Linked DNA regions of Drosophila melanogaster. The protein of the gene in region 2 interacts with the protein of the main gene of each other region in a pairwise test. Each region holds a gene or a part of one and is shown on either strand. Other genes may lie near its edges.

Region 1 (5,520 bases), on a different chromosome or scaffold from region 2:
AGCACGACTTGGGCTTCGTGACCTTCGATCTGCAAACGAATCTCACAGGCATCTTCAACTGGAACGTGAAGCAGCTGTTCCTGTATCTCACCGCCGAGTACCAGACACCGGCCAATCAACTCAACCAGGTGGTACTGTGGGACAAGATTATCCTGCGCGGCGACAATGCCGTATTGGACTTCAAGAACATGAACACCAAGTACTACTTCTGGGACGACGGGAATGGCCTGAAGGACAACCGCAACGTATCGCTATACCTCTCGTGGAACATCATTCCGAACGCGGGACTCCTTCCCTCCGTTCAGGCCACTGGAAAGCACCTGTTCAAGTTCCCGGCCGACTATGCCACCTCGTCCATTTAGAGCTTAGGGCTAATGCTAAATACAGCTGGTTCCGCCCGGGTTCCCTAGCTTGTAGTGTCTATCTAATAAAACCCCAAATAAAATATCTTTGTAAAGATTTCGAACTGTATCCCAAACGAAAGAAACTTAAGAGAAATTCGTTGAAAATAATTTATTTTTGGTCCATTTTTATAATGACAATTTTATCTATAGCTTTCTATAGTAATTAACCAGCGAGTGACTGCAGAGCGCCAGCACTTAGTTTTCGGTCTTTCGTCTCAAATCTGGGTTTGGCAGTCGAACTAGGGTTCAACACTGCAGCTGAGGTGTTAAGGGATAGAGCTACAACCAAAATAGCAATAAAGAACTGTGCGAAAATTTTAAAAAATATTAGATTTTGGAACGCAGATATGATTAGTACCAACACACCAATTTTACTGAGGCCATGTTGATATCCGCTAAAGAAATCGAAAACTATACTAAAAATGTGTAAAAGATCTCCAATATATATATGACTGGTATTCAAGGCCGCATCGAATGGGTTCGTTTCAAAATTTAAAACTGAATCAAATTCGTTAACATTTTTTACAAGGCTTACGCAATGAAAAAGACTAATTGACCTTTGAAAATGTAATCCTTAAGACGAAGATGATGAACCCAACATATGAAAATACTTATTCGATCAATTCACAACTAATACGAAAAGGAAAGGATTTTGCATTCGGAAGATTATTTTTATTTCAAACTTCCTAAATAGAAGCATTCATTAGATTACTTATTTTACAGTCGGGGTTTTTTTTTTAATGTCTATTAATGCTGCAGCATCTGACATGCGATAACACAGTTGTCCTTGACCTAGTTGTAGAACATAAACATAATAGATGCACATCAAAAATGTTTATTTATAAGATCGGTTAAGTTTTAATATGGCAACGTATGACAGACATTCGTAATACAAACTTGCGTAAATGCATTCAGGAGTTCGCAGTTTTATGATTATTTATCTGATTACATATTTTAGCCTTGGTATGTTTTCCCACTGGGGACGTGCGAGCGTATCTTGTTTAAATATTCTTTGGTCTATATTTATAATAATTAAACAAAAAAAAAAAAAATATCTAATTATAAAACAATACTTTCTTCGATGACTATAAATTTGATATACCTAGAGTTCAAATAAATATTTTAAATATACTTTGAGATCATCTTGAGATACTTGTTTACTCTTTGTTTCTCGCCTTTTGGCGATGTTCGTCTAATACTTCCCGCAATCGCTTGACGAAATTAGCTTGATCTCTCGGAATAAAGCCCAGGAAGGCGTTCCTCGGGGACGAATACAGCAGCATGATAACCTTGCAGACGACCTCGGAGGAAAATCGGGCACAGCCACAACTGCCGGCGGACATTGATGATGCTAGCGAGTCGTGTTCTTCTCCAGGTGTCGATCGGAGAATTATAAGTTTCGAGTCCTTTATAAACGCTCCGGCGAACTGACCAAGATAAATTGAAGGCATCAAAACCATAGGCATATCAGTTGGCCAATCCTCCGCACTGATCCCGGGATCACCGTTTTTTATAGCTATGTACACGGAACACTCAAGCTTGTGACTAATGCTTGGCTCCTCTAAACTTGCTTGTGTCGACCAATTCAGCGATCCAGTCCATAGGAGTTCATTTATAATGGCATCTTCCTCCACAGGAGGCGGTTCTTCTGGCTGTGGCTGCTTGGGTGTTTTGACGCCCGGCTTTCGTTTTGCACCCTGAAGAATCTCCTGCAGTCGTTCGCTAAACGAATCCTCATTGTTGGGTATGAAGCCAACCAAAGCTTGATGATCGCGCGAGTAGATGAGAATTAGAGCCTTGATGTTGCAGTTGGGATTGGAGGGGAAGTGGATGCAACCAGCGAAACCAGAGCTCATCGCCGTGATCAATAAATTGAGTACCTCTCCTTGGCTGGATCGGAATACAACCATCCTGGCATCCTTTAGGAATTGTTCGCCAATTTTACCCAGCACTTTTTTGGGTATCAGTTGTGTTTTCAGCTTGTTTGGCCAGTTCTCCGTGTTGATCTCCGGCTGACCTTCTTTAACCATGGAGCAGATTTTGCATTGGACCGTGTGCAGAGTCTTCGGTTGATCCAATATCTGTGCATCCTCCCATTCGAGCTCTCCACTCCAAATTGTTTCCTTTGAGTCACCATTTTCAGGATTTTCCGGTTCTTTTTGCAAAAGCAACGCCCCAATCATATGTGTTAGACAATCGAGTTCCCCTTCGTCATCACCCACTCCTCGGGCTTCCTCTGGAACCGGCTCCATGCCCCTTTCAAGATGCAATCTAATTAAATATGGATTTTGTCGGATAGGCAACTTGTCGGTTAAAAATTTGTTTATCTGTGATATGCTTCTTCTTGCTTTTAGCGGTTTGTTATTGGTATCGCACTATCGGTTGGCTGGTTGGTCGATTGGCGGCCATCGAGATGCAACGCAATGCAACCCTGGCCAATCACTCTCACTTCTTCTTCTGCGTTTGTGTCAAAACAAAATTAAAACTAAAAACTCGCTAAAACCGTCTCGCAGCGCAATTATCTTTAGACTTCGTGTTATTTATGTGTTTGAATGTTAGCGTCGGCACCCCGCATCCCAGTGTTCATAACCCCATGTGTGCCACCTTGGTTTAAATGCTACCAATCTCCTGGCAGAGTAGCGCGTCTGAGCGAATAAAAAAACTGAACATGTTTCGCTCCAAGCACTTGTGATTGACCAAATCTCATCTAAAGCCCTGCCATGCTGCAGTACAAGAGTGCCGCCAGTGCGGCGACTAGTGCGCCACCCGCCACGCCTTTGGCGGCAGGCGGTTCCAGCAAGGCGACGATTCCACCAAATGGAGCTAGTGCAGCAGCTTCACAAACGCAGGTTCACGGTGCTCCCGGGACACCAACCATGCAGCAGATCATCAACATTCACCAAATGCCTCCTCAGTTTGCAGGCGGAGCGGTTGCCGGGAACGGACAGAACGCTGGCATGCCCCAAAACATGTTCCAGATCGTACAGCCCATGCCCATGCAAACGGTGAACATTGATGGCCAGGAGGCCATCTTCATACCAAACCTCAATGCACAACTGGCCACCGCTCAGGCGGTCAACTTCAACGGGCAACAGGCCTTTATCACGCCCAACGGTCAAATTCTGCGGGCTCCCCAGATGGCAGCTAATCCGGCAGCCTCTAACTGCATTCAGCTGCAACAGCTGAACGGCTTGGGCCAGGAGCAAACCCAGCTGATCACCATACCCGGCACCAACATTCAAATACCCGTCACCAATCTCATTCAGCAACAACAGCAGGCACAACAAGTGCACCAGGGTACAGTGCAACAGCAGGCACAAGGAACAAATGCATCTGGAGCCAATGGATCGGGAGTTACCAATAGTGGGACAGCGGGTCAGCTGCCGGGCAGCATCACCATACCGGGCACAAACCTGCAGATACCAACCTCGGTAGCGGCGGCGAATGGATTGCTGGGAAACATCTCCAATATCTCCAATTTACTAGGCGGCGGGCAATCTATAAAGTTGGAGAACGGCCAATTGCAGATGCGGCCGCAACTGGTGCAGTTTCCGGCGCCAGCCATGCCGCAGCAGCAACAAACGGTTGCTGTGCAGATTCCCGTTCAGACTGCTAACGGACAGACCATCTACCAGACTGTACATGTGCCCGTCCAGGCAGCGGCAACATCGAGCGGCGGACTGCAAAACCTGATGCAGGCGCAATCCCTGCAGATGCCCTCCGCCTCGCAGATGCAAATCATCCCGCAGTTCTCACAGATAGCCCAGATTGTTACGCCCAACGGTCAGATTCAGCAGGTGCAACTGGCAATGCCGTATCCTCAGCTGCCTCCGAATGCCAACATTATACATATCCAGAATCCCCACCAGCAGCAGCAACAACAAGTACAACAACAACAACAGCAGCAGCAGGCGCAACAGCAGCAGCAAGCGCAACAGCAACAGGCACAGCAGCAGCAACAACAACAGGTCCAGGCGCAGCACCAGCAGCTCCTTCAGGCGATCAGCGATGCCTCGGCGGGGGGACAACTGCCGCCCAATCAGCCCATCACCATTACCAATGCCCAGGGCCAACAGCTGACCGTGATTCCCGCCCAACTACGCCCAAATGCGCCTACCGCACCCACTCCTGCTCCAGCTGGTGTGCCCACACCAATGCAGATGCCCAATCTTCAGGCTTTACCCATCCAGAACATCCCAGGCCTGGGTCAAGTGCAAATCATTCACGCCAATCAGCTGCCTCCTAATCTGCCAGCCAACTTCCAGCAAGTACTAACCCAACTACCCATGTCGCATCCTCAAGTGCAAACTCAGGGCCAAGTTCAGGTGATGCCCAAGCAGGAGCCGCAGAGTCCAACGCAAATGATCACCAGCATCAAGCAAGAGCCGCCGGATACCTTTGGACCCATTTCCGCAACTGGTAATCCTCCGGCACCTGCCTCTACTCCAAACACAGCCTCACCGCAACAGCAGCAGATCAAGTTCCTGCATACGGAAAGCAATTCCCTGTCCAGCCTGAGCATACCAGCCTCCATTCAGATCACAGCCCTGCCACAGCAAGCGACGAATACACCGAATACCCCAGCCACAACCCAACCAATTCCCGTATCGTTACCTGCAAGAAGTAAGGTCAACGCTGTGACCACGTCAAGCACCCAGATTACAATTGCGCCGACTGGTGGCCAAGTGGTGTCCGTCACGACGCAGGCTAGGGGAGCAACTGCCAGCATAAGGAGCACGAACACCAGCACGACGACTATAACAACGCCGTCACAAAGCCATCTCAATATGAACATAAGTGTGGCCAGCGTCGGAGGTGCTGCAACTGGCGGCGGCGGTGGAACAGCGACTGGAGAGCCCAAACCACGCTTAAAGCGAGTAGCCTGCACCTGTCCCAATTGTACAGATGGCGAAAAACACTCGGACAAGAAGCGCCAGCATATATGCCATATAACCGGCTGCCATAAGGTATACGGGAAAACTTCCCATCTAAGGGCTCACCTGCGTTGGCATACTGGCGAGCGACCATTTGTCTGCTCCTGGGCGTTTTGCGGCAAGCGCTTCACCCGCTCCGATGAACTGCAGCGCCACCGACGAACGCACACGGGAGAGAAGCG
Region 2 (10,601 bases):
TTCTTCGAGCACGAGGTGAAGCTGGACGTGTACGCCTTTTTGCAGCAGTTCCACTTCGGTGTCTTCTACGCATACCTCAAGCTGAAGGAGCAGGAGTGCCGTAACATCGTCTGGATCGCCGAGTGCGTTGCCCAGAAGCACCGCGCAAAGATCGACAACTACATACCCATTTTCTAAGCGCGCTAGATGATCGCTAAGCATTTGGCATACAAATAATATTACACGTTTTTTTTTCCTGCCTTTCGATATGCGTTTTTTTTTGTTGTCCCTCTACCCTTGTTATTGAATTGTTTAATGTATATTATATTATGATACCGAGTCTGTATGTTTGTATGTAGCGAGTATTATTGCCGGTCCAGGCAAATTTTTGTCAAGTGTTCAGACCCAAGCCTAGATTTCTCAGTTTCCGCGGCTCCTCCTCCAATTGTTATCAGCATTGGCCCAATAGATAACTATATAATATGTATTCGGGAGACCCATAGTGTCCCTTCAGGGCTTCGTGTTTGTGTACATATGTATAATTATCGAACGGAACGAAAACAGTTCAAATTGAATGTAGAGAAAAGAAACATCAGCACCATATGTTAACTACTATATAGAAAATGCATACTTATACAAGAACTACATATGTGAATGATAAATCAATTATTAAAACATGTTTTCAAACATTCCCTTAAACGCCGCTGTCTAATAACTGAGTTATATGGCTATACTAATACATGCCAATACAAAGTCATGCATTTGCTTTGAAAAAGATAGCTCTGACTAAAACGATGGCCTCTGATTCCAACTTTCTTGTTTGTTTTTTGCATAATCTAAAAGCATTTTTCTTTCGATCTTAGTTTTATACATATTTTCTCTTTTGGATGCTTAAGTAGCCAAACTTAAAATGCCAATCGGTTGGACAAACTGTCCACGGGTCGTTTTGGGGTTACATAAAAATTGGATAAGATGCCAAACAAGTTATTGGCTATCGAATGATATCAAGTCTGTTGTCGTAGAAAGCATTTCCAAAGATATGTTTTCTGCAGAATGATTGTATTTTAATCAGTCCATGGGAGCAGACAATAAGTTTAGTTCATAGTTCTGGCTAATCCCTCTGAGTCACTTTAAAAAAAAAGTCTACGTGTAAAGAGATTTATGAGAAATGCAAGTATGAGGGATTGCCATGAAGGCATCACATATTTCACTCAATTCATAAAGAAGACAGTTGTTATAGGGCGCGTGTGCTCAAGGATATCCTGCTACTCTTTGTCTGCTCGCGGAGTTCAAGGTTTCCATACCTCCAGGGTGCGTCCACTGCTCCATTACTCACCGGGGAATCTTTTGGGCTAGACAAAGAAATCCTCCTTTGTATTCCATCAGCATATACACAGAATATACAGATGTATATACCTTGCGTTAACTTCTTGTCATTTAAGATATTCAAAAGCGGTAATGATCTGAGCTGGAAAGGCATAATATGTATATATATAAAGTTGTGCTTGGCCAAGTTGTGATGCACCGGAGATGGGATTTCAGATCTTTGCTTTGATTATGCACAGTCAATGGAAAATCAATAGCTTTTCTTTCTGTGTCGTGGGTTAATTGCGTGCACCATGCTACGAGCTACGTGCCCGTAGAGCGCTGCATTCCCGTTAGTCAGGCCTATAGCAGGCCATAGCTTCGGATCTTGGCCCAGTGCGTATGGCGTCGCTATGGAGCAGCAGGTGCCGCCGACGAGCTGAAGAACCGACTAGTCGACCAGCCGACCAACCGACCAACCGACGAACCCCGAACACGTTCGATGCGAAAAGAAAGCTGCTGTTGTTGGCTCGATCAGCTGGGGAGCGACCCGTGGAATCGCCCATAACTCGGCCTGGTGGCTCTAAGTCCGCGCAGTCGAGTTCCGCGTCCCCGAGCGTTGAGTTCAGTCTTATAAAGAGCAGCAGCATCCGATTTCCTGGCAGAGCGGGAAAACCAATCGTCACGCGCGCCAAGCCAATTTCAAAACTATTTTCCAATATTATTTATTTTTTTTTTTTTTTGCCACACACGGAGTGCTATAGTTTTTTTGTTGTGTTCCAAGTGCAATACGGAAGTGTGTCTGACCAGCAACTGGAGTTACAGCGCACAGGAGAGCGGGCTAGAAGGATAGCAGGATAACTAGGATAACTGGATAACAGGATAAACCTACTTATAGGTAAAGATATACGCAAAGAGGTGAAATGCGATTGGCATTGAAGTGGGCCAATATGATGATGACCGCTGGAGTTGGAAAAACCAACGCCAAAGACGGCCAAAGAGGCAATTGCACGTAAAACCCGCCAGTCGGCGTGGAATTGTTGAATTGTGGAATTGTGTCAACCAGTTTGGCCCCGCACTTTGCGAAGGCCCGCAAGACTCCCCAGATCTCCATCTACGTAGTACGTACATACGTACAAATGTGGTCGGCCATCCATCCGCTTCTGCCTCTGTTTGCTGTGCGTTCTTCTTGCCTTGTCATTAACTTATTTGAATTTGGCAAAACAAAAGAGACGCGTCGTCGTCGTTTTACTTTCTACAACCCATCACCGCATTCTTCGCCGTCCGACGTCCCGTGTCCAAAGTCGCAGGTGCTGGAAAGTGGAACTGTTTGTCCGATATCCGATCGCTGCCACAGGTGGTGTAAAATAGCAAGTTTTACCAAATTGATAATCAAAGTCAGCTGCGAAGATTATCTGCTCTGTTCTCATAAACAAGGTCCAAAAAACCAAGTGCTATTCAACAGATATGTTTAGGGATATGTTTTTTCTCCGAAAACATGTCACGTTTCGTTTAAAGCGTTCATTCATTCATTGAATATTTTATCTGATTACATCAGGTGATAATACTTACATTTCCATATCTGAAACAATAGCAATATTCGAGCAGGATGAAATATAATATATATAATATCAAAAATTAACTGCGGGTTTCCAAGGCTTTTAGCTCGAAACGGGCTAATTTTCTGGTCCATTGGGTCAGCCTTGACCGGAAATGCCGACCGCCGATCGCTGCCCCTCCTCCACTTTTTCTCCCTGTTTAACCCCCCCCCCTTCCTATTAACCGACCACTTTTGGTGGGGCTACCCACGCCCATGGCGAACAGAAATTTCACCGCTGGCTGCATTAAAGAACTTAACCTTAATTTTGGCATAGGTCTCTCGACATGGTCATCATTATTATGGTAACTTTGATTTTACCTCCACTTTGCTTTATGTTCTTATTGTTGTGGTTGTTGTTGTTCTTGTTGCTGCCCAGCGATTTCACCCACACACTGGCAAAAGAAAGTGGTAAGCACACACATCAACACAGGGAGCCAAGAAATAACACAAATCAGGCAGAAAATCTCAGAGCAGTCGTAAAAAAAAAAACGAAACCGAAAACAAAAACAACTACAAAGACCGCACGAAATTATGCAAATTTCTTGGAGTCTAGCAACTACACACATACATACATACGTATGTATGTACGTATGTATGGGATTATATAAACCACACCGAAGGATGTAAAAGTCTGACAAACTGTTTAGCATAATCGCAGCTCGCTGGTTTCGTAATCACCAGGCGTGGATTAGATGCACACATGCTGTGGCATTAAAAATCCAAAATAAAAAAAAAGAAATATCATTATAGAAAAGCATTTTTTTCCCTTTGGAATTTTTGCATCACTCTTACACTTTCGCTGCCGCACTGAATAATTAACAGTTCGATTTCGATGGACAAGCTCCCCCCGCCCAAAAAAAAAAAAATCTGATTGTGTTATGATAATTTCCAAAAAAAAAACACACACAGCTAACCACTGTCTCACTTTCTATTTTCCTATGCGTTTAATAATTAATTAATGCTAATAACTTTTCACAACCGTTATAATTTATTGACAAAATTCGAAACTACTGCTTGAAAAACAAACAAGAGGTGAGGGGAGACACACGTGGGCTTTTTATAATACGTTTTCGGTTCGTTTTCAAATGCAATATGCCAAACTGGACTTTCGAGCGTTTCGATAACGTATTGGAATTTTCGATCGGCTTTAAGGTGAAATTATTATAAAGCCAAAGTGCATCGCCAAAGTGCAGATTGCATTTCAAACATGCAGCAATGTGTGCCAAAAGCACAGCAGCAGAATGGCTACAGTGAGTCCTGCCTAAAACGAACTCAATCTCAATAGCAATAACAAACTGTTGCTTATTCTTATTCTTAAACTGTGTCTATGCTAACTTTACTTGGATTATACAACTAATTCTTGGCCGTGTTACTCGCAATTGAGGCATCCCAAATGAAATTTACTTGCATTGAATTGGCGTTGGCTTGAGGGGAGTCCCCACTGTTTGCCATCTGCCCATTGAATTCGGTTCGGTTCCAAGTCGACCTGCGATTACGAGCAAGTTACTTCGACTGTGGTCACATATTGCTACTGCCAGTGCCAGTGGCCATTATTACAGACACCCATTCTCGGAATGGGACTTCGGCCACTGCCATATTTAGCCACACACACTTTCTTTGCCCAAACAGCCACCAACTGGGTCACAAATGGTGTTTGTTGTTCCGCCCAAGCGGAAGGTCATCAATGGAATGGAATGGAATGGTATGGTATGTCCAGATGCCACATATCACGCTGCGAGCCACGTACGGTTGAAGAGGGCCCCAGAAGCCGAGAAGCAGGAGGCGGTGCTCAGAAAAAATGAAAGTGGAACAATGTGGAGCTGTGGAGCTGTGGAGCTGTGGAGCTGTGAATCTGTGGAGCAGGTTCAGCTGGCCGAGATTTCTGTGCGTTGTTTACCGTTTCCAGACAAATGATGGAAATGAATATGAAAATGATGTAAGGAAATGGGCATCATTAGAAGGGGGGGCGGTAATAAGCCGGTTATAGTAGAATGAATTACCATTATCCCCTGTGGCCCATTCCCATCCAGATTACACAAATTGTCCTCGGCGAAGAGTGTGAAAGATAAGAAACAGATAGAAAAAGAGAACAATAATCCACACAGCAGCATAGGTTAATGGACAAAATATTAGTCCAAATCGGTCAAATCCATATATAGACCCAATCAAAAGCAGTTCGTTTCCCAAGAAAACGGATGCGTTTAATAGCATGGAACCAACGAGCCTTTCTATGAGCTTCATCTTTAATTGTAATTCAATATTTTGTTTTCTTTTTTGTTTTATAGAAAACTTGGTTTAGTTTCTAGGTCGTGACCATACCCCACACCCAACAACTGCCATCCGATCCGAATCGTTTTGCATATTTATCTTGAAATAGTTCTGGCTCTGGTCCAAGCCCTTCGGGTTTCTCCGTCGGTTGAGCTCCAGTTAAGAGCCGCTAATTGATTTGGACATCTTGGGGCGCTTCGAAATCCCCTTCCCCTCCCCTTCCGCCCTCCCCATGCCAACAAGCACTTGAGGTAAATGAGTCAATAGCTGAAATTTCACTTTGCCATCGGTGACTCCCCCTGCCACCCGACAAAAAAAACTCAAAAAACAAAAAAAAATGAAAAATGAAAAGAGCCCAGTTTGAGTTGGCAACGAGCTCCAACTTGTTGGCTCTGCGGAAATGAATGAATGGAGATACATAGGTACACCTACATACATATGTATGTATAGGTAGTGCGCTAGTATATGGGGGCTATTCTAATGAGCTAACCCAATTCGTCAATTAAATAACTCTGCAGAGAGATTTCACTCTCGTTTTTTGTCTCTTCGCGATGCGTTGTTAAATTTGGCTTTTAGTTTTTAAAGCCATTGGGTTTCGCTGTTAATTTGTTTACTTTGCATTTGGAAGTGTGGAGAAGGGAGGAGGGGGGGGAGGAAACGCAAAAACCGAAGATGAGATGAAAAGAGAAGTGAAAGAAATTATGTCAATATTTATTTAAATTCATTTCTTTTGCAAAATACAAGGCGGCCAAAAACGAGACGAAAGAATGCGGTGAAATTTAATCGCTGGCCACTTGAAAGCGATTTCCGAGCTGTTGACTTTTGGAATACCTCTTGGTTTTGTGCCCGTACCCACCTTCCTCAACCGCTCCACTTCGATTTCCATTTCCATTTCGATTTCGATTTCGATTTTGAATTCCGCTTCGCAAACGGATTCTGCCTACGCACAGAAAACGCAAAGTAAATCGCCATTGAGCTCGCTTTTTCACTATATTTTTCACTATATTCATTCTCGGAGGTAATTTTGTTAACTTTAGTATAAAATACCCATTAAAGAGTCAACAATAGTGCTTTAACTTATAGCATATGCACTTTCAAACTTTGTGCATATGTGTGTTAGTTGCAAGGGGATTGTATTTTGGGGCTTACAATACAATCCCTTATTTGTCAGCATACTGATTTCGATTTGCATGTTTCGTTAAAGATTCGCAAATCAAGATGACCAGCTCGAGGAATATGCTACTGATGCTGCTCCTGGTGGCCAGTGCCTCCATACTTCAACTGGAGGCCAAGACCGTGTTCCGGCGCACAGACAAGATATCGGAGAACTTCAAGCAGTTAGATTTGCCGCCAGAGGAGATCGATCCCAATGTGGCGCCACCGGAATCGGAGCCGCCCAAGGTGGAGGATGTCGCTGATGTGGCGGATGAGGTGGTCAATGCCGTGTCGCCTGCTTCGTCCATCGACGAGAGTGCCAATGAGATAGCCAGCGGTGATGTGGATACCCCGAATGCTGCAGCTTCCGTTGCAGAAGCTGTCGCCCCAGCCGCTGCCGTTCCCGAGGTCGCAGAGGCAGCTGCTCCGGCGGTGGCCACCACTCTAGCGGCCAAGCCTACCACTGCACCGACCACCGCCAAGCCGGAGAATCCCATCAGCAAGTTCTGCAAGTGCTCGGAGAGCCACTGCGACTGCTGCCGGAAGTTCGGATTGCCATTGCTGCCCAGCGGACCTGGCTGCGCCAAGATCGCCTATGTGGGCAACGACGAGATGAGCGTGTCCCTCAAATACGGTGGCATCACCTTGGCCTCTCGTCGCATCTCCAGCAAGCGGGCTCGCCCCATTTGCGTGGGCCTGCCCGGCGGCTACTCCAAGTTCTGCGGCAAGGTCTATGGTCTGTCCCGTTCCAAGGAGTCCAAGGACTTCAAGGCATGCCTGGCCTTTGAACTGCGCTCCGACGACGAGGTGGAGGCCTCCCTGCGCGTCTCCTGTTTCAAGTTTGGACCGGAAGGAGTCCGGGTGGCCGAGGCGGAGCCGTTGCCTGTGAAGCCCAGTTCGGATGACGATGATGACGACGATGATGACCTCTTTGGATTTGCCGGTGAGTTGGCCTGTTCATATACGTATACATAATATTTTTGTTCGATATATTGCGTATCCGCCTCGTTGAACTGACTCCTCTAGTCCATGCTAAAAATATCTAATCTAACTCCGTTATCTTTATAATTTTTTTTTGTTTTTGGTGTCAGCTGGTGGCGACGATGACGAGGATGAGGAGGACGACTATGACAGCGACAACGATACGGATGCGGATGCCGATGACGACGATGACACCGAGGACTATGCCGATGATGACGAGGCCGAGGCGCCCGAGGATGCTGATTACGGTGGCTTTAGTTTGGCCGGACTTCTGGACGAGCTCGACGATGACGACGATGAGAAGCCGGTTAAGAAGCCAGCGGCTGCGGCTGCGTCAGCGGCTGCTGACCAAACCCGCGAGCATGTAATTGCCGATGGCCAGGTGACCGCGACTACGACGAACGGCGACCAGGTGCAGAGCAAGGACGATACGGGAGCTCCTGCCGCTGGCGAGGCTGTTGCAGCTGCTGCACCTGCTGCGCCTGCTGCTCCTCTTGCTGCTCCTGCAGCCGCAGCACCGATTGAGGGAGAAGTGGCCGCAGCGGTGACACCGGCTACCACAGCTGCCGCCGATGAAGACTCCACCACGCCCAAGTCCAAGAAGTCCAAGAAGGCGAAAAAGAACAAGAAGAAGAAGGCCGCCGCAGAGGCGACGGATGAGACTGGATTCGCCTACGAGCTCCTCAATGGCATCCTGGATTTTTTCAACTGAGCGGCCAGCGCGAGTTTGCCAACATGCTGGGCAATAGTGTAAATACCTTGTACCGCCGCAGCTGGTCGACACAAATTTAGTTCATAGTTCATAGGTCGTAGCGCTTAAGGGCCCCCCGAAATTTCACATATTTATTTCAACTTCGATAATTTATTTTAAATTTATAACGAATAAAAATGAAAAATGTACTACCCAGTGAAGTGACCCACTCGGTTGCTGGACTTCATTTACATCTAAATCGGAATGCTGGCCTTTTTCGGGCTTTTGCGGCCAACATTTCTGATTTGATTGAGGTTTTGCAGTCAGTGCTGTTTTCGCACCTGTGGCACGTTTCCCGTTCCAGGGCCTTCACTTTGATCCGAATTAATTTGCATCGAAATTCCAGCTGCACTGCGTGGAACTGTGGACTTAGCCGCAGGCCAACAGAAGTTGACAAGATATATACAATATAAAGCTGGCCATGGTCAGAACCCAAGTTCACCACAAGTCACAGGAGTTGCATTTGAGATTTAAAGCACGAGTTTATGTATTTGACAATGATTCACAAAACTGTGGGGCAACACAAATGGGGAAAATATTAGATAAAAGATAGAAGGGGCAACAATAAATGAAATAGTTTAGAGTCACTAAAACGTAGCTACGGTTACCACAAATTCGACTCGCATTCCGTGTAACTAATCTGGGACTTAATTACAAGTAAAAGGTACTCCTTTTTCCTGGGCCAGCGATGACTACGGCACTTTGAGTTCCGTTTCCTATATAAGTGTAAGCATATAAAGGATAGCCACCATCGAAGCAGCATAATTAATGTTCCAGCCAACCATTATCCATGTTTTTATTCTCCTTCACTTTCCGGAGGTCTCGGCATCGCTGGCATTTTGATTAGTCATTTATGGGACCCACTTTCGCCCTTGGTCCTCTGGGCATAACTTTCAGCTGGGGAATCCCGACTAAGCCGCAGAAAACAGCATTTTTTGGAGGTCGAGGTGCTGGTGCTGCGTTGATTAAGTGCCGGACCATTTGTCAAATTCCGGGTTGGAGTAACTTTTAATTGGAAACTATGCGTTGCAGTTATGTGGCCGGATGCGTGATGGGTACGGATCGAATCCGTAATCCCTTTGGCCTTAATTGCCCGGGACTGTTGGCCATGTTCCCACTTTCCCCCAATTGAAATACGGGCGGTTAATGCCGCCATACAAGATGTAATTAATTACACATAGAGTAAAATATTTATTTATGGTTAAAAGTGCCCATTCAATTTGATTGAATGAAGGTTTTCTCGCAAAAAAAATATGAATTACAAATGCTTACGCATACGTACTAAATCGTGGTTTCCATATATGTATTCTACAATATATTCCACGTGGAACCATCTTTGCCTTTGCTCACCTAAACCAATTGCTTTGCTTGGAAACTTCAAAATCACTCGGAATTAAGACGGGAGAAGAGCAAATTGTCGTTCTATATATATATATGCACATATATATATATATATATATATAGATATATATACATATATATATGGATATCAATTACAAATAGAGGTTCTTGCAAACACACACATATCATAAATGTTTAACGTACATCAAAAAATCTCAAGTATTCATAGTGTATATTCGTGTATAAAAGAAACAACTACAGCGTCTTTTGATTTGTAAACAATTTTGTAAGGAAAAAATGACACTATTTGGGAACATATTTTTATTTTTTTTTTTGTTTTTGTTAAATTTTTGATTTGATTCGAACGGAGTGAAAGTGGGTTGGGGGATGATCAAGAAATAAATGACAGGATTGTAGGGAGCACCAGTTGGCTTTCTATAACTAAATCTCCGTTCGCGTATCACACTTAAATGATATATAAGAACAAGTTAACCATTAGTCAAATGGATTCCCATAAAAATGCCGCTGAACTTGTCCGAAATTCGTATAAAGTTTGGTTTAACTTAACTTATCGCACTCAAATGGCACGGAGTAAAACTTGTGTGTAAATATTTCATCGTATATATTTTGTATACATATATGTATATAATAGGGGTATATAATTATATAAGATATATATATATATATATATTTGTATTCAAGTAGTTTTGTATATTCGACCCTATCCAACCGATAGGTTCTATAACTTGTAAATGTATTCTTAAATTATCGTGTTGTCGATAGTGTACGCGAAATAGGTTATGAAAGTTGAAGTTCAGATTGTCAGGTTGATATTCTGATATTCTTCCGTTTCCGGTATGTATTGTATGTACTTTGTATGTATTACACTTTGTTTGTGTGCTCTTGTGGTTGGTGAGTGGTGGTGGGGGGGGGGGGGTGATGGAGGCAGGGGGTAAGCAGTAAAATCAGTCTCGATTTTGAAGTAGTAGGTAGTAGTGGGTGAAGTTCCGTAGTGATTCCTGTCCGCTAGAGTGAGTGTGCCCAGATCCTTGTCCAGGGTTCCTCCCCTTGACCCAGCTTATGTCCAGTTTCTGTTGCCCCACCACGAATCGAATTCGATGCCCCATTAAATCTGATCCAGTTAAATATATACTCGCTAAGCCTCTTGGCCACTGGACTTTCAGCTGAGTTCAGCACAGTCATTTCGTTGGAGTTATGGTC
Region 3 (7,415 bases), on a different chromosome or scaffold from region 2:
TGTGTTCCATTTACAATTTAACCGTTCCTTTCTAATCTATTGTATTTCATATCCACAGTGACAAGGAGCGCCACGAGAAGGTTAAGCGCATTTACCAGGAGGCATCCGTGCAACAGGGCGAGCTCAATGAGCTGTCCCGGGCCAAAAAGAAGAAGAAGTTCTAGGCTCGACTTTGAATTAGTTATTTTTAGCTAGACTATAAACAAAGCTGAGAGTAAAGAATATAGCAGTGTTGCTTATATTTTAGTATCACGAAATCGGCCTTCACAGTTTTTATAGTTATGCAAAGCTACTAACCCAGATTAAGCACAAGGGTGGGTCGATTAAAATGAAACATCTCATCATTGCTCTTTGAAAGCACTATAGCACCAACATACATTTCCAAATTAAAAACATGTTTCTTCAAGAAGCAACAAAATTTAACGACTTCCTTTAACTACTATAACTTTAATAACAAAATTGACCCACCCCAATGTACGTATATGTATATGATAATCCTATGTGCCTACTTCGTCTTTCCCGAGATTTGCCGGCATCGCAGAGTCGCCTGTTCCACCGCTCCAGACACCGCAGCCCGAAAACCTGCAATCGACATCAAAGGTTGAAGTGGCGGCGATAAGCGAGTGCGTCATCGGCGTCATCATCCCAACTTACCTGACAGCTCGAGTTGTCTGAGTGCCGCTGCTGTCGATCCCGCCGGACTTGTGACCCCATCCTTGAGTTGTCCGGGATGCATACCACTGTCCCGCACCATGTGACCTGCGCCCAGGACTGTTTGCGATGCCAAACGATAGGCCAGATCCCTGGGCATGCCCATGTGAACGGCTCCATCCGCCAAGGCCTCAATCATCACGAATACATAGGCCGGTCCACTTCCGCTCAGAGCAGTAACCACATCCAACTGGGACTCATCCACCGGCTCACAAGTGCCCACGGACTGCAGCAGCTTCTGGGTAATATCCGCATCTGCATCTGTGGCCTTGGATCCGCGAACGAAAACCGAACAACCGGAACACACGACAGCCGGCAGATTGGGCATCACACGGATGACGCGAGCTTGTGGAGATAAACTGGACTCGATGGTGGACAAAGTGATGCCCATGGCCACGGAAAGGAATAGTTTGCCCGAGCTCAATGGCTGAATCTCCGACAAAACCGAGGGAACCACTTGGGGTTTCACGGACACGAAGACCACATCCGATTGCTGCACAACGGGTGCATTCTTGATCACTGTTTCCACTCCCAGGGATTGAAAGGACTGCAGGGAGAGCTTATCTGCCGGATGGACGCTGGCTATCAGGGTATTGGGTTTGGCCAGGCCTAGGAAATGAATTAGGAAATTTGGCGATTATATGATGAAATCCTTAACGTCCTATCCTTTTGTATCTAATTATAAGATGATGTTAGTTCATATATATATTGCATATCCAAGTGTGTCTTATCTATTGTCTAGCACAAAGTATGTCAGACTACAAATCTATTTTATTAGTGGCTTTCTCACCGGCCGCTAGGAAACCCTTAGCCAAAGCCTTGGCCATATTCCCGCCTCCCAGGAATCCGATCTTTCCGATTGCCGACATTAGTTAATGGGTTAAAAAGTCCGCGGACTGTGAGTACTGAACTTTCTGCTGGTGGAACGGCAACTGTGCGCCCGCCGCCGGCGTTGACCAAAAACAGACGCGAGGATTGATAAGAAATCTTGCCCGGCCAACCCCCTCCCAATCCCCTGCGTTGAGGGAACAACACACCCAGCGATCTGAGCTTATCATTGAGGTTCCTATGTGTGGGTTCGGCAATCGACAGCGGGGCAAAATAATAATAAATACTAAGAACTTTTCACACATTGTAAATAAAGAAAACATTAAACTATTAATAGTGCTGTTTTACAATCGAATTATATTTGAATAAAAATAGTCATTAAAATCCACTTAAGATAGAGACAAATTTTTAATAGATCATAAATTACAACCCATTATTTAAAGTGAAGTTATTATGATTTCAGCTTATATAACAATCAATTATAATATTGATTGATAATATTGATTATATATAATATGTAGTTTAAAATACAGTTCAAGTGCCGCGATTGCTAATATTTTGCCCGCCGTTGTATTTCCTTATCATTTAGAACAACTGTCATCCGCAACTCATTCACCCATTAATCGGCGTGACGAAGTCCAAATTAATGCGAGATGCCGATGCCCTGTAATCCCTGTAATCGTGCGTTGATCCACTTTCGTGTTTTGGATTCCATTTCTATAAATTTCTATATAGCTGTACTCTTTGGCAATCCTTACTTACCAAGTTTCAAAAACATTCCGCACTTTAAGAGATAACAATCGTTATCAATGTGAGCGTGATAACAGTAGAGGCGATATACACATGCTTATTTGTAAAGGGCTACATTAGAAAACCAAAGTATTTACTTTGTATATTACAAAATATTGCCATAGGGATTTTGGGACATACCCGGGTATACTAGATACGTTGGAAAGTAGATACCGCCTAGTAAGCAATTTTCGAAAAGAGTTCTTTCTTCTTTTTATCATATCTCGCATTAAGTAACGGGTATTTGATAGTCCAGCAAATCGGCTAAAACTAAAAGATCTATATTTACTGTTTTCAAAGAATTGCACAGATTTGAGAGTCAGTTAATTAGCGGATACATACACCACTCCATCCAATTTTCTCACCGTATGCAGCAAAGTTTCCCTCCTTCACCACGTGGTGAGGAAGCCAACATAGACTCTGGTAACACTAAACTGGAGATGAAACTTACTTCCGCACACGGTACCACTAAACTCTTCATGCCAAAATAAAAGATTAAATTAAGATATTGCCAGCTCCAAACCCGGATATATAACCCCACAAGTGATTAATACGAATTAGGGGCATCCACTGTAGCGGAGTAAGCTCGTGATACTACCAAAATTTACCAAAGTCAAGCCCTAGTTGTCCCCTACACGTGTGTGAGTGTGTGTGTGCGGGTGTCGGTCGTGTGCGCCTGTATATGTGCGTTGTTTTCTCACTCAATTTCATTGCAATTTAAAAAAAAATCAACAAAAACGCAGTAACAGCAGCAACAACAATTAGAAAACGCACTTGTTACCGAGGTTGGCTGCCAGTACTAGAAAAGCAAACAATAAACAACCGAGCTGGCGAGACTGAAATCCATCGCATGATAAACACACCGAACAAGAATCTTCGACAGCTTCGAAATTCTGGAGAAGGACGGTACGTATTGGTATTTATGCGACCAGATACGAGTATAATTGATTTGCAAATTATTCCACAGGGCCACGTCGCTATCTTATCTGCTACAGTGAGAGAAAAACCAGTAGGCCAGTCGTGTTCGATCATAGTTTAGGTTTTCAAACTTGGGCGGTAGTAATTAAGTTCGTTAAAAATTAGCAAAACCAAAACAACACCATGTCCTCGTCGTCGACGTCCGGCGGCCGGAAGCAACCCACTGCTGTGTCGCGCATGAAGCAGGACTATATGCGCCTCAAGCGGGATCCCCTGCCGTACATAACCGCCGAGCCGCTGCCCAACAACATCCTCGAGTGGCACTACTGCGTCAAGGGGCCGGAGGACTCGCCCTACTACGGCGGCTACTACCACGGCACCCTGCTCTTTCCGCGCGAGTTCCCATTCAAGCCGCCATCCATCTACATGCTGACGCCGAACGGTCGCTTCAAGACCAACACCAGACTGTGTTTGAGTATATCAGGTATGTGTCAGTTCCATATCCGTAGGAGTCCGAATCCACAGCTAGAAATAAAGCGGATTGGTTGTCACAGTAGTAGAACATTAAAGAATGGGTAGTAACTACAGGCTTAAAGACTACCATTAACTTTGAACGCTGAATAGTTTTAGTTATGTTTGACGAAGCCGATGGACTTTGTGGCTTAGTCAAACATGTTTTTTGCGACCTTTCAAATAGATATTCGTGTATCTGTTTAGATCTGTTTAGATTCTATTGTTCCAAACATATAACTTATCAACCCTATTGGGATTTTCAGATTTTCATCCGGACACTTGGAACCCGACTTGGTGCGTAGGCACCATTCTCACTGGACTGCTGAGCTTCATGGTGAGTTATTACGAATACATGATCATACGTTTGAGTAAGCCAATCTTAAATCCTTCACAGCTGGAGAGCACACCCACACTCGGATCCATCGAATCATCGAACTATGACAAGCAAATGTTTGCTCAAAAATCACTAGCATTTAACCTGCGCAACACCAACTTCTGTGAGCTGTTTCCGGAGATAGTCGAAGAGATCAAGCAGCGGCTGCGAGGAACACAGGCGGCAGCTGCTGTGGACGGACCCGCTGCCAATGGAGTAAAGCGTTCCAACGGACTGGCCAACGGAGCGAGCCTGGCATCTGCGGATGGCAATCTGGCGGTGGGCGGCTTGGCCAATCCACTGAATGCAGCGGACGCAATCGATGGCGGGGCGGCGGGTCAGGCGGATTTGGCCAGCGGCGGAGGAGCGGCGGTCCAGAATAGTGCACGGAACTCCTATCTAAACTGGCAGTCCGTCTATTCAAACCTGGTGATCATTATCTGCTTTGCAATTTTTGCCCTCATTGTTAATTACGTGATCAAGAACCTGAATCAGGAATAGAATTACCGACACAGCCTCTATATTTATATAAAGAAATAGTTACACATCCGTATGCGTGTGCATATCTAATCTAGTTTACTTTAAAATAGTCTTCGTGGATTGTATACCGCTTGAGAAGTATTTACATACCCCGCTTGATTCAAAAACAACCGCACTAGACCCCCGGCATCCATTCCCACGATTCCCACGATTGCTGACTTAGTCTGAAAATTATCGGCAGCAAAATTTGAAAACACAAGAACACACAATTCAGAACTCGACTTGTGAAATTTAAAAATTGTTTTGTTATGTATTCATTACTATTAACGCCTAGTTTAATGCAACGTGAATAATGCCAGAAATATGTTTGTAAATGAATAAAGAAGCCCGGCAACATATGAGCTCGTGTACAAATTAACCAATATATGTGTGCGTTTCTTGATTATTAAATGGATCTTCATTTTCAGTCGCCACAAATTGCTTGGATGTTGGATGATTCAACTTGTATAATAAGTTGTAATTTGTAGTTGGCTTTTCGCTGGCTAAGCGGCTTAAGTATGAAGCAAAGTCCGCTGGCAGTCGGCAATAATTTTTCCTCACACTAGCTAAGTACGGCCAAATCCAATAAACTGATGCCTGGCTGGGCAACAATGTTACACATTTAAACCGCTTACATTGTTGGCCATCTTAAGCCGAAATTACACACATGACGCTTATTACTCCTGGAAGTGGGCGTTGCGGACCAAGTTCGATGGTTACAGTGAATTGTGGTTACCACAATCTATGTCTTTGAAGTAAAAACAATCTATGTCTTTGAAGTAAAAACTACAGAATAATACTATGATTTTTTTTTAAAACTATCTATAACCAGTATATATATTTATACGATATATTCGCTTTGTAGGAATATTTTATAGATTTAAAGTCGTTTTAATAGTTTTCCAGGAAAATAAAATACTTGCTGAACAATAACAGATTTATAGAGAAGAGAGTTTAGAATTATTAGAAAATTCGGGAAAAGAAAATCCGATTACCCAGCAGACGCGGCAAACTCCTTTAAAATAAAAGGACGCAGCGACGACTTTGTTTTGCACAGAAAGTTTTTTTGGCCAGACGCTGAAGTTGATAATTTAACTAACGTAAATTTCAAGTTCAGGCAGCATGGCAAAGTTTCCGACTGCGGCTGGCACTCGCAACTTTTCAAATTTGGTTGTTTGTTTTATGAACTTGCAACAGTTTAAGCCAATTTCGGCTGCACTGAGGGAGAAAACCACCAGAAGATACACAACATTAAATGATATCCCGGATGGCCAAAGAGTCCAAGACACACAGACCCCATAACCGAGACATTTCTGGTCCTGTCATCGAGTATTTTTATGCGGGCTGCCGATGGGCGGGGATTTCGGAATCGCTTGTGCTTTTTGCTCGAAATTTATTTTGAGTACCCACCAGGATGGCAACTGGCGTCTAAGTCCGAAGTGTCTCCTGCACTTCCGCCTTATCCTTTTGATGCTCGGGCGGATGTGCAATTTTTGCTCATTTGTTCTTGGCATTTATAAGCTTCAGTTTGCCCGAAAAGAGGTCACTGGCATTGTGGGTCCAAGGAGTTCATTGTTCGCCGCCGAGCTGAAATCCCCAAAATGTGCCAGGCTTAAATGTCCAACAAATAGCTGCAGGACATTAGTTGACGGCAATAAATGTCGATGCTCCCGGGCTAAGCGGCTTATCCACAGCAAATATAAATATGCGCGAGTAAGCTTGCGAAAACAAAACACAAATGGAGTGGTCAACGGCTATTCGATGCGATGGCCACAAGGGGAAGTCGGCCCAACGGGGCTATAAAAATAATGACCAAAACAAAACCAAGTGCCCACGGCCAAGACGGAAGGCCAGATAAATAAATGTAAATAAATAAAAAAACAAATGCCATAATCATTAAGTACGCCTCATTGGCGGACATGTGCCCCGAAGTTCCTGGCCATCTGGAGCTGCCTTTATGCGTTCCGTTCTGCACAGGAGAAAAATAAATAATGGCAAAAATATATAGGGTTTCAATATATGGAGAGCCCATTAATACGTAGCTGATTTCAGAACCAAATTTTATTAATATAATATAGGGTATATCTTACGGATATAAAAAGCAAACACTTAATATTAATTAAATGGTCATATTAAAATATGTTAATGTTAATATGTTAAAATTTGAAATTGGTGTTTAAATAATGTCTTACTTTATATTTCTCATTTTTTTTTCTCAGTGTCATGTGACTTGACCAACCAGGGGTCGTAAATGTTACACATCCGCACACAGAAAACCCACACAATCGCAGGCCAATGCGCATATAAATGAAATGTTTGTTAAATTATGTGGGCAATATACGTTTATGCCTGTGTCAGTGTGCGCAATAAACGATAAAGCATAAACTTAATATGCAAAGGCCACGCGAAAATAGCAACAGCCGAAATGTATGCTATGTTTTCCCTTTCGCGTGTGGGCGACTGTGTGTGTGTGTGTGTGTGTGTGCGCAGGCATATGAGCATTCGCTTTATCAATGCATAAACAAATGGACATCAGCTGCGAGTTATGGCAGGATTGCCTAAGCGAAAGGGCAAGTGGGGTTAGACGGAAAAAGGACCTCATAAGTCTGGTGAAATTTAAAAATAATTAGTCTAGGGATAGAGTGAAAATTAAGTTAGATTTTGGTATTCATTTATGTAAAGTACACTTTACTTACCCTAGTCAAACTTTCCCTGCTCTAGTACCTTTGTTATTATTATAATTTATATGAATTTAGGAAATTTA

Evidence for each region.
Region 1: the proteins of CG15239 (region 2) and Acp95EF interact in a two-hybrid assay, tested with the Drosophila melanogaster proteins (one large-scale study listed by BioGRID).
Region 3: the proteins of CG15239 (region 2) and CG5823 interact in a two-hybrid assay, tested with the Drosophila melanogaster proteins (one large-scale study listed by BioGRID).

The regions. Positions count from the first base shown.
Region 1 is NT_033777.3:24,224,260-24,229,779, reverse strand, and holds Acp95EF (accessory gland protein 95EF), read right to left. Parts: upstream 806-5,520; 5' UTR 789-805; coding exon 771-788; exon of another isoform or gene 709-770; coding exon 568-708; 3' UTR 501-567; downstream 1-500. Other genes in the region: Spase22-23 (spase 22/23-subunit), read left to right, coding at 1-362; CG13609 (uncharacterized protein), read right to left, coding at 1,562-2,656; Spps (Sp1-like factor for pairing sensitive-silencing), read left to right, coding at 3,125-5,520.
Region 2 is NC_004354.4:3,882,293-3,892,893, forward strand, and holds CG15239 (uncharacterized protein), read left to right. Parts: upstream 1-1,875; 5' UTR 1,876-2,182; intron 2,183-6,356; 5' UTR 6,357-6,370; coding exon 6,371-7,250; intron 7,251-7,398; coding exon 7,399-8,000; 3' UTR 8,001-8,194; downstream 8,195-10,601. Other genes in the region: VhaAC39-1 (vacuolar H[+] ATPase AC39 subunit 1), read left to right, coding at 1-177.
Region 3 is NT_033777.3:17,529,938-17,537,352, reverse strand, and holds CG5823 (uncharacterized protein), read left to right. Parts: upstream 1-2,765; 5' UTR 2,766-3,234; intron 3,235-3,295; 5' UTR 3,296-3,429; coding exon 3,430-3,730; intron 3,731-4,022; coding exon 4,023-4,093; intron 4,094-4,153; coding exon 4,154-4,633; 3' UTR 4,634-5,028; downstream 5,029-7,415. Other genes in the region: l(3)07882 (lethal (3) 07882), read left to right, coding at 59-164; P5cr-2 (Pyrroline-5-carboxylate reductase-like 2), read right to left, coding at 506-582, 655-1,320, 1,502-1,580.